Callithrix jacchus: one gene and its partner. Each later gene encodes a partner of the first gene's protein in a complex. Links are inferred from orthologs where the notes say so. Each region holds a gene or a part of one and is shown on either strand. Other genes may lie near its edges.

Evidence for each region. The genes of interacting proteins can lie anywhere in the genome.
Region 2: the proteins of SPTLC1 (region 1) and ORMDL3 are in contact, whole or in part, in a cryo-EM structure (PDB 7K0N), measured with the Homo sapiens proteins. The link is inferred for Callithrix jacchus from reciprocal best matches to the Homo sapiens genes SPTLC1 and ORMDL3. Residues at the interface, in NP_006406.1 of Homo sapiens: Ala16, Leu17, Ala20, Pro21, Tyr23, His24, Leu27, Glu28, Leu31, Ile32, Trp34, Ile35, Leu38, Leu39, Ser41, Lys42, Thr43, Tyr44, Lys45, Leu46, Gln47; in NP_001307730.1 of Homo sapiens: Gly92, Val93, Gln94, Phe95, Thr96, Ala97, Lys100, Thr103, Ile104, Ile107, Tyr110, Phe111, Ser114, Tyr119, Gln121, Phe124, Thr128, Leu131, Met132, Leu139, Pro140, His143.

Annotation. Positions count from the first base shown.
Region 1 is NC_133502.1:96,796,593-96,801,115, forward strand, and holds the start of SPTLC1 (serine palmitoyltransferase 1), read right to left. Parts: upstream 3,078-4,523; 5' UTR 3,054-3,077; coding exon 2,997-3,053; intron 563-2,996; coding exon 455-562; intron 1-454. UniProt on the Homo sapiens protein: Component of the serine palmitoyltransferase multisubunit enzyme (SPT) that catalyzes the initial and rate-limiting step in sphingolipid biosynthesis by condensing L-serine and activated acyl-CoA (most commonly palmitoyl-CoA) to form long-chain bases.
Region 2 is NC_133506.1:120,349,601-120,353,855, forward strand, and holds the start of ORMDL3 (ORM1-like protein 3), read right to left. Parts: upstream 2,908-4,255; 5' UTR 2,790-2,907; intron 2,284-2,789; exon of another isoform or gene 2,111-2,283; intron 1-2,110. UniProt on the Homo sapiens protein: Plays an essential role in the homeostatic regulation of sphingolipid de novo biosynthesis by modulating the activity of the serine palmitoyltransferase (SPT) in response to ceramide levels.

The DNA.
Region 1 (4,523 bases):
GATTTTTTCTAAAGTACACAACACATCAAAATTCGATCTGAGATAGGTTTGAGTAGGATTCTTTTCTACTCTGACTCTACTTTAAGAAGACCACAGGGGAAACTTTCTCTCACACTTCAGAAATAGTTGTGCTATTCTGCAGGAACTCACACAACCCTCATATGAACATTCAAACTCCAGTAGCTGCTCATGCTTCCCTCTAACCATCTATTTCCAAGACTGCTGTTTACTCCTAGCAAAGTATCCAAGACCATAATATGCTCTGCATTTGGGTACTGACTTTATTTCTAGATTTCCCCATATTTTGCCTACCCTAATATTTCACTCCCCTTGATTTCCTTACATTACAGAAAATGTTTTAACACACATAGTTGAGCCACCACAAATCCTTTCTGGAAAGACATAGCAACTATAATCCTATACCCAATAATGAAACAGAGATTTAATTTTTTACCTTGACTGTAAGATCAGATCGTTCTTGTAATTTGTAAGTCTTAGAGAAAAGAAGTCTGATTATCCAGAGTATCAGAATCCCTTCCAAAATAAGATGGTAAGCAGGAGCCTAAGAGTGAGTTAAAAACAAATAAGAAATGAAACATACATTTCTAAAATCTGCATATAAAATTTACCACACCTGCATATACTGCCCCTCATGATGTTTAGCCTATTAATTCTTACTACTTACTTTCAAAGCTCCATTAATTTCTATTTATTCCTTTCCCCATTTCTAATGGCAGGCAATTTCTCCTTCACATGAAAAACCCCTAATATTTTTGGCTTTCAAAACTTCTTTGGGAATAAAAATTAAAACTAAAAAAAAAAAAAATCTAACACAGAATCTCAATATTTAAAACAATATAAACTACCAGATTATTTAATTTCAGTGCTTATTTCTTTTTTGGGGGCACCATAAAAGACTACTCAAATTCTACGTTCAATGTGCATAAAAATTGGGAATAAGAAGTTTCTCTTTAGGATGAGTTTTAAAATTTGCTGATCCCCCTGAATACAATTCATTTATGAATAAATCTAAATACCCTTTTAGTTTTCTAAATACCCTTTTAGTTTTCTAAATAGTTGGATTCTAGCAGGCAAACATCTGCCCAAGCCACTAGTTAGAGCCCACTCCACAAAGAAATCTCCCTAAGAAAATTTGAGAAACTATCTGACCAGTGAATTAATAAAAATCACAAACACCACTTCTTTTTCTCCCCAGGAAATGTTACATACAGGAGTTCTCCCAAGTCTCCCTGCTGGACAATTTTGAAATATGAAGTTACACTACTTCAGTCTTCAAAAAGGGAACAACGTTTAATAGAAAATCCATTTCTTAAAAACATATATAAAAAAAGATCATTCAATTTTAGTCGTTCATTTTAGGTCACTCTAACCTAATACTGGACATCACTTAATATTTGAGGATAAGAGAGAGCCACATCTGCTCCCTCTGATACGTTTCAAGATAAAATTCCCAATACGTCTTGCAATGGAAACACCATCATTACCCCTGCCAGTAGACAGTGATAAATTTTTGTGATATTAAGTCATCAAAAGTAATGTGAAATTCACATGAAATAAATGTAAGCTCTGTAAGCACAGGGACTTGTGCCTGTTTGTTCACTGCACTATCCCTTGCATCTAGATCTGTGTGGTCCAACATGGACAGTCACTAGTTACAAGTGGCTATTTAAGTTTTAAAAATTCAGTTCCAGCTGGACATTGTGGCTTATGCCTGTAATTCCAGCATTTTGGGAGGCTGAAGCAGGAGGGCTGCTTGAGGCCAGGAGTTCAAGACCGGCCTGGGCAACATAGTAAGACCACCGTCTCTACAAAAAAAAAAAAGATTAACTGGGTGTGGTGGTATGTGGTCCCAGCTACTGGGGAGTCTAAGGTGGGAGGATCGCTTGAGTCTGGGAGGTCAAAGCAGCAGTGAGATTATTGCGCCACTGCACTCCACCCTGGGCAACAGAGTGAAACCCTATCCAAAAAAAAAAAATAAAAATAAGTGCCTAATGAATAGCTCAGAGAAGATTCGGAAAGCTCTGAGGAACAGCGTGGGGAATCTTATAAATGAATGAATACTAAGACTGACATTCTGGTTTCATATTATCTTATGTATCTGAAATAACTAGCCTTCCAAAAAAACTCTTAACTATTCTTCCTTTAAAAATCTACAGCAGGGCGCGGTGACCAATCCCGGCAATTTGGGAGGCTGAGGCAGGCGGATCACCTGAGGTCAAGAGTCTAAGACCAGTCTGACCAACATGAAGAAACCCCATCTCTACTAAAAATACAAAATTAGCCAGGCGTGGTGGCACATGCCTCTAATCCCAGCTACTTGGTAGACTGAGGCAGGAATCGCTTGAACCCGGGAGGCAGAGGTTGTGGTGAGCTGAGATTGCGCCATTGTACTCTAGCTTGGACAAGAGTGAAACTCCATCTCAATAAATAAATAGAATAAAAATAAAAATCTACTAAAATCATTGTAACTTTGTAAGACAGAAAACTAATGTTCATGGAAGAATGGCAATTTATTTACAAATCCTAAATAAATTGGTTTATTTTCGACAAAACCAAACTCCAATTTATTACAATTATATTCCCCAATTAACTGTTCATAGTACCAAGGAACTGACCGCCTTAGGACCTTCCCAGAGGAAGGTTTTTCACTCATTTTCACCACTCCGTTTTATCGAACGTCTGGTTTTGGCAGACCTGGCTCCCGCGTCCTCTTAGACGTGTTCCTTTCCCGAGCCTCGAGGGGACCCGGAGCATAAGAACTCAAACCGAGACCCTCGGTCTCAGCCCCGGCCCGTTCCTCCCTAATACTGAGCCGCTGGGACTGGAAGATCACGGCACTCCTTCCAGCAAGAGACGCCGAGTCTTGGCGTGATCAAGCCAGTCCCGCTGAGGTCTCAGGCCATAAATCCACACGCGCCGTCCCAACCTCCCCAGGCCCAGGTGTAGTCGCGGGGCGCTCATAGCGCGGAGCCCACCTCGTAGAGCGCCTGTACCATCTCCACCAGCACCCACTGCTCCGTGGCGGTCGCCATAGTTAGCCGCTGAGGACTCCTTCCGGAAGGCGGGTCGCAAACGCGTCCTAAAAGTGCGCGTCGCTGCTCAGTGACGTCCTCGACTCTGCGGAGGGCGGGGCGGTGGAGCGCTGGGCACCGCCTCCTCGCACTTGCGCACTGGTTGACGGGAGGCCGGGCGGCATCGGGTGGGATGCAGGAAAGTATCTCCAGAAATTATTTACCTTATGTCCATTCCGCCCCCTGCTGGATTCGGGATGGAGAGAGTAGACCCTTGCACTTGGCCATCAGCTGGGTGCAGTGTTAAAATGACTGCAATATGTTTACTTTTTTTTTTTTTTTTTAAGATGGAGTTTCGCTCTTGTTGCCCAGGCTGGAGTGCAATGGCGCGATCTCCGCTCACCGCAGCCTCTGCTTCCCGGGTTCAAGCTATTCTCCCGCCTCAGCCTCCCGAGTAGCTTGTATTACAGGCATGCGCCACGTCGCCTGGCTAATTTTGTATTTGTATTATTATTATTTTCTTTTTCTTTTTTTTTGGAGACGGAGTCTTGCCCTCTTACCCAGGCTGGAGTGCAGTGGCGCGATCTCAGCTCACTGCAACCTCCGCCTCTCAGGTTCAAGTGATTCTCCTGCCTCAGCCTCCCCAGTAGCTGGGACTACAGGCACGCCCGGCTAATTTTTTTTTTTTTTTTTTTGTAGTATTTTTAGTAGAGACAGGGTTTACCATATTAGCCAGGATGCTCTCGATCTTTTGACCTCGTGATCTGCCCACCTCAGCCTCCCAAAGCGCTGGGATTAGATGCGTGAGCCACCGCGCCCTACCAATACCTTTACTTTTAATAACATAAGGCTGGGCGTATCTTTGTGGCAGCTTCTATAAGAGAATGCAACTGCCATAAAGAAAGATCATCTGGGAACCACATAGAGTGGGGAAGAGATGACTAAGGGTCCCCAGCTGCCCCAGCCCTTGGCTGTTTGAGTCTTACCAGTCCAGGTACCAGACATGTGAGGGATGACACCTTCAAGGTGGCCCCAGCTCCAGCAGCCATCCGGTTACCACCACTGAGAGACCCTGAGTGAGGTATGCCTAGCTAAGCCCAGTTGACAGCCAAATGTGTCAGCAAAATAAACGATTGTTATTGTTCTAAGCCACTGTTTTGGGATTGTTATGCAGCAGTAGACCACTGGAAGGAATACACCATGGGTTTGCTTGATTTTGCACTTTTCTTGGCCTCTGCAACAGTTTCCTAGGGCTGCTCTAACACGTGATTACAAACTGGGTGCCTTGAAACACAGAGATTTATTCTCTCACATTTCTGGCAGTCAGATGTACAGAATTAAGATGATAGGGGAGGGACAGCAGGAGGGGTAGGGAGTTGGGGAGAAGCATGGGGAGAAATGCCAGATATAGGTGAAGGGGAGGAAGGCAGCAAATCACACTGCCACGTGTGTACCTATGCAACTATCTTGCATGTTCTTCACATGTACCCC
Region 2 (4,255 bases), on another chromosome or scaffold:
GATGTCTCCTCTGAAGCCCTTCCCATCAGGAGGGAAAAGAAGTGGGGTCTGTGGGTACAGGCAGCAGTGGATGAACTATTTTGAGGTCACTGCTTCCGCTCACCTCCTCTAGTTTTTTCAATTCTGGATCTCCCCAAACCCTAACTTAGGAGGACTGATTCGGTAGAAAAAGGGAGCGGTGGGGGGAGAAGAAATGAGAAAACAACAGACTAGGGACAACCTCTGCCCAGATCTGGAAGGCGCCCCTTCTGGGTGACACAAAACAACCCATCCAGATGTTTTTTCCATTTGGCAGCCACTCAGGCCAGCTCTTGTGATGCCACCCACTCTGCTGCCAAACCACCAGGGCCCTTTTCCCCACAAGAGGGGTGAGGACAGAGAACGTGGCCAACACCTAGAGCTCCCATGGAGAGCTGGAACCTGCAACAATATATGCCTCCCAAGGGCACAGACCCGAACCTGTGGCCTCCCTCCTGTCCCCCTTCCTCTCTGTCCTGCCCATCCTCACCTCAGTTTCCCTCAGCACCTGTTTCCAGGTGTACCTTAGCCCATGCCTTCCCCTGCCCAGCACCAACAGTAGGAGACCTGTGGCAGGAGGAACCAGGAGGCAGCCACAACCCACAGTGAGCAGGGGAAGTAGAGAAGGAAGGGAGGGGAATGATCTGCCCCTTGTCCAGAGCTTGGCTGTCCCCAGATCCCTGAGGGGCCTGTGATCAGGAGAAGGTGGGGACAGATGGCGCCTGTGTACTGGCTCACCTCCCATCTGAGGTAGGGTCCTGCCTGCTAAAGACCATAAGGTCATCACCATGGTAACAGCTCCATCTTTCCTAGTCCCAGATGGAGATATTCTAGAAGTACCCAGAAAGCCACCTCCCTCACACCCCTGCGGTGACACCTCAGTCCCAGATGCCATCTATCTCTGATAGGATCCTAGCCAAACCTGCACAGAAGCCTGAATCCTCAGGGGTCAGTTCTTTACTTCCAGGATAACAGGAGCAAGTGTCCTCTTCTCAGACAGCTCCATACTTAGAGATCTCAGGGAAACCATGACCCACAACACACCATCCCAACAAGCAAACACCCCTGCGCTGGCCTGGGGTGCGCTCTGGGTAAAGTGACACTCCTGGGACCCATCAGCGCAGCCCATTAGGCTGGGTAATTGAGTCACACAGAAATCCAAGTATCTAAAAAGCCAGAGCTAGCCCTGACTGTTTACCTTCCCAGGGCTTCGGGGCTTCAGTTACTCTAGCAGCCCCTGGGACAGCTACTACACAAAAGCCTCCACCTTAGAGGGGAGGGCAACATGTAGCTGAGAAGTGAGGGATCTGAAGGAATTACCTCTGATTAAGGAGAGGGAGAGTTTCCCAAGTCTGACCTGGGAAACTGCCACCCCATCACCTCTCTGTTACCCACCCCTACGGGTTGTTGGTGTAGAAAGCCCACTAACCCTTCCTAGTATTTGTGCTGGAGTGCCAAAAGCCTTGTGGAATCCCAGATCACAAGACTCCATACCCCTTTCCGGCTTTCACAGGGCAGCCAACAAAACTTGACAAACCTAGGAAAAGCCCAGACTTAGATCCTAGCCGATACCCTCAGATGCTTCTTCCTGAAGCCTAAACACTAGGTGCCATGAGAGCAGAAAACCACCAGAGACCTCTAAAAAAAGGGATCAATAAACTAAGACAAGAACCGGCAGCCAAAAAACACTGGAGACTTTCGTGTGACTATGGGCACACATCACTTCCATTAGTAAAACAACCAACTGACCCCACTCTAGATGAGGAGAAACAGAGAGAAGAGGCTGGCAGCGGTCTACAGCAGCTAAGCTGAAAAGTTCTGCTGCCATAGCTGGCAGGTGGCTGCTAGTGCCAGGCCCTGATGTGGTTTCATAACCTGCCTCAAACCAGAGCCTGCAGCAACTCTGTTCTGTTAACCACTTTTTTTGCTGATAGCTCTTTTCCCCTCCTTCCCTCCCCACCCCCTTGGCTCCACAGGCAAATATGCGGGCCCAGCCAGTATGCCAGACTCTCAAGCCAAGGCTGATCGTGCACCAGGCCAGCCACCAGGTGAGCCCTTTTCATTCCCTCCCCCAGAAAAGAGCAGCCCTTACAACAGCAAACCTCCTGTCTTCTGAATGAGGAGCACAAAACATGCAGGACTGGATGGGGACCCCCAATGGGGAATCCGTGGCAGCACATCACAATGCCATTTCCATTCCGCCCACCCCGCAAGCCGCAGGACCACAGCCGATCACCTCTCAACTTTGGCCCAGCCATCCCGACTGGGGGAGGGCGGTGGGAGCGGAAAGCTTGTGCTAAGGCGAACCCGCACTAAGCCGAGAAGAGGAGGAGCAAAGGGGCGGAGTCCTCACTGTTGTTAGGGTTTCCTCAGTAAGACCTCCGGCGGGGGGTCGGGGGGGAGGGGTCCGGCTCTGTTCCCCAGCCTGGGACCTCGCACTCGGAACTCGGTCGAGTCCGGGACCCCACCGTCACCTCCACGGGTTCACCCAGCTCTGTAGGCAGCCAAACCTTTATCCCCGAAGCCCAGCCCCTCCCCGCCTCCCACCCCTAGCCGAAGCACTCCTCGCCGACGTTCCACCACCGGCCTGCGGCTCGTACTTTCTTCCTTGGCCACGTCCCCAGCCGCTGCACCCCCTCGGCTGATGCATTCCCTCTACCCCCACTCACTCTGCCCCGGTCTCTCCAGCCCAGGGCGCCTCCCTAGCAGCCTCCACCTTCTCTCCCGCCCCTCCGCTAGCCCTGGGGCCCTCTGGTTCCGTCTGGGCTCACCGTGCGGGGCAGGAGATCTAGGGCCCGGGAACGGTTCCCGGGAGCGGAGGCCGCTGCTGCTCCAGCAGCTGTAACAACCCGCGGCGGCAGCCTCCCCGTTGGCAGCTCCGGCCAAATCAGAGCTCCGCGCCGGCCCTCGTGACATCACCATCCCGCGCCGGCCCGCCCGATGCCTCCTGGGAGTTGTAGTTTTTCCTGGCTCCTTTCCCGGCCTCTCCGGGGCCGCACTGTTGGAAATTGCACCGTGACGCGACGGATTGCATGATAGAACTTTGGTGCGTAACGATTCCAGCTTTCGCTTCTGTGCCTTTCAAGGGTATTTTACCCTTGCCCCAGTTTTGCAGATGAGGAGACTCGGACTTGTAAGTCACTTGCTGTAAGTCTTTGCTGGGTCGGAGACTGGATCGAAACCCAGATATTCTGACCCCAAGTGCCGGGTTTTTCCACTGCACTTGGCTGCCTCCGCCCTGGCCCCAGATTGGCTCCTCCAGAAACGGACTGGCCCGGCCCTTTGCCCTGCCGGGCCCTCCTGGGAGCGCGCTTTTCACACTGGCCGAGGTGAGGGTCTGGAGGGCCCAGAACGGAGCCTGCCTTCTTCTCAGTCATGCTTGGCCCAGGTTGCCCTGGACGGGGCCACATCTTTGGCCGCCCCGCACCTGACCTCAGAAGAGGCCACGTAATATATAGATTCCTTGATCAATAGTAAGGAGCCTGAGTTTCTGTCTCAGGTCAGCTTGTGTGGTTTTGAATGAAAGGCTCTGGTCTGCAGTTTTCACATCTGCATCCTCTAAAGGCAAGGGCACAGACTTTACTGCCTGGTCGACATAGAGTAGGCCCCCCTTTATTGGCAGTGTGACCCTGGGCAAATTACTCGTCTTAATCTCCAATTTCACACCTGTGAAACCCCACCTCCAAGGTTGTGGGAACCCAAAAGAATGTATGTAAAGCACCTGTTGCATTGTAGGAATCTATTTAATATTACTGTGGGAGGTTGAACTAAATGGCTCTTGAGGTCTCCTGGGTCACTCCCATTCTCCATGTCACCAAGAGGCCTTGTCTGGGTAGCTTCCACTCCCTCCCCAGCTTCTCTCTAAGTCCACTCTATGCAGGGCAGGGCTGGAATAGCAAGATCAGATTATGTCATCATGGCATGCCAGCCCGATTCTGAATGGCAGTTCATGGCACTCTGAAGTGAAACAGGAAGGAAGAGTCTAGCCCAGGAAAACTGGGGAGGGGAGCACTTCACTTGGACTCCACCTACCCTTCCTTCCCCAGGGGGCTACCAGGAAACAGTTGTCACACAGCTGGAGTGGGACCCCCAGAGGCACTTAGTGGTCACCAGGCAGGTGGGTATTTGAACCGCCCAGAGCAGAACAGGCAGCTTCTTGAATATTTCCAGGACCAATGGCCCCAAAAGAGTTCATCTCAAGATCGAAATAATCTCCCGAGTCTGAAATAGCTCTGCC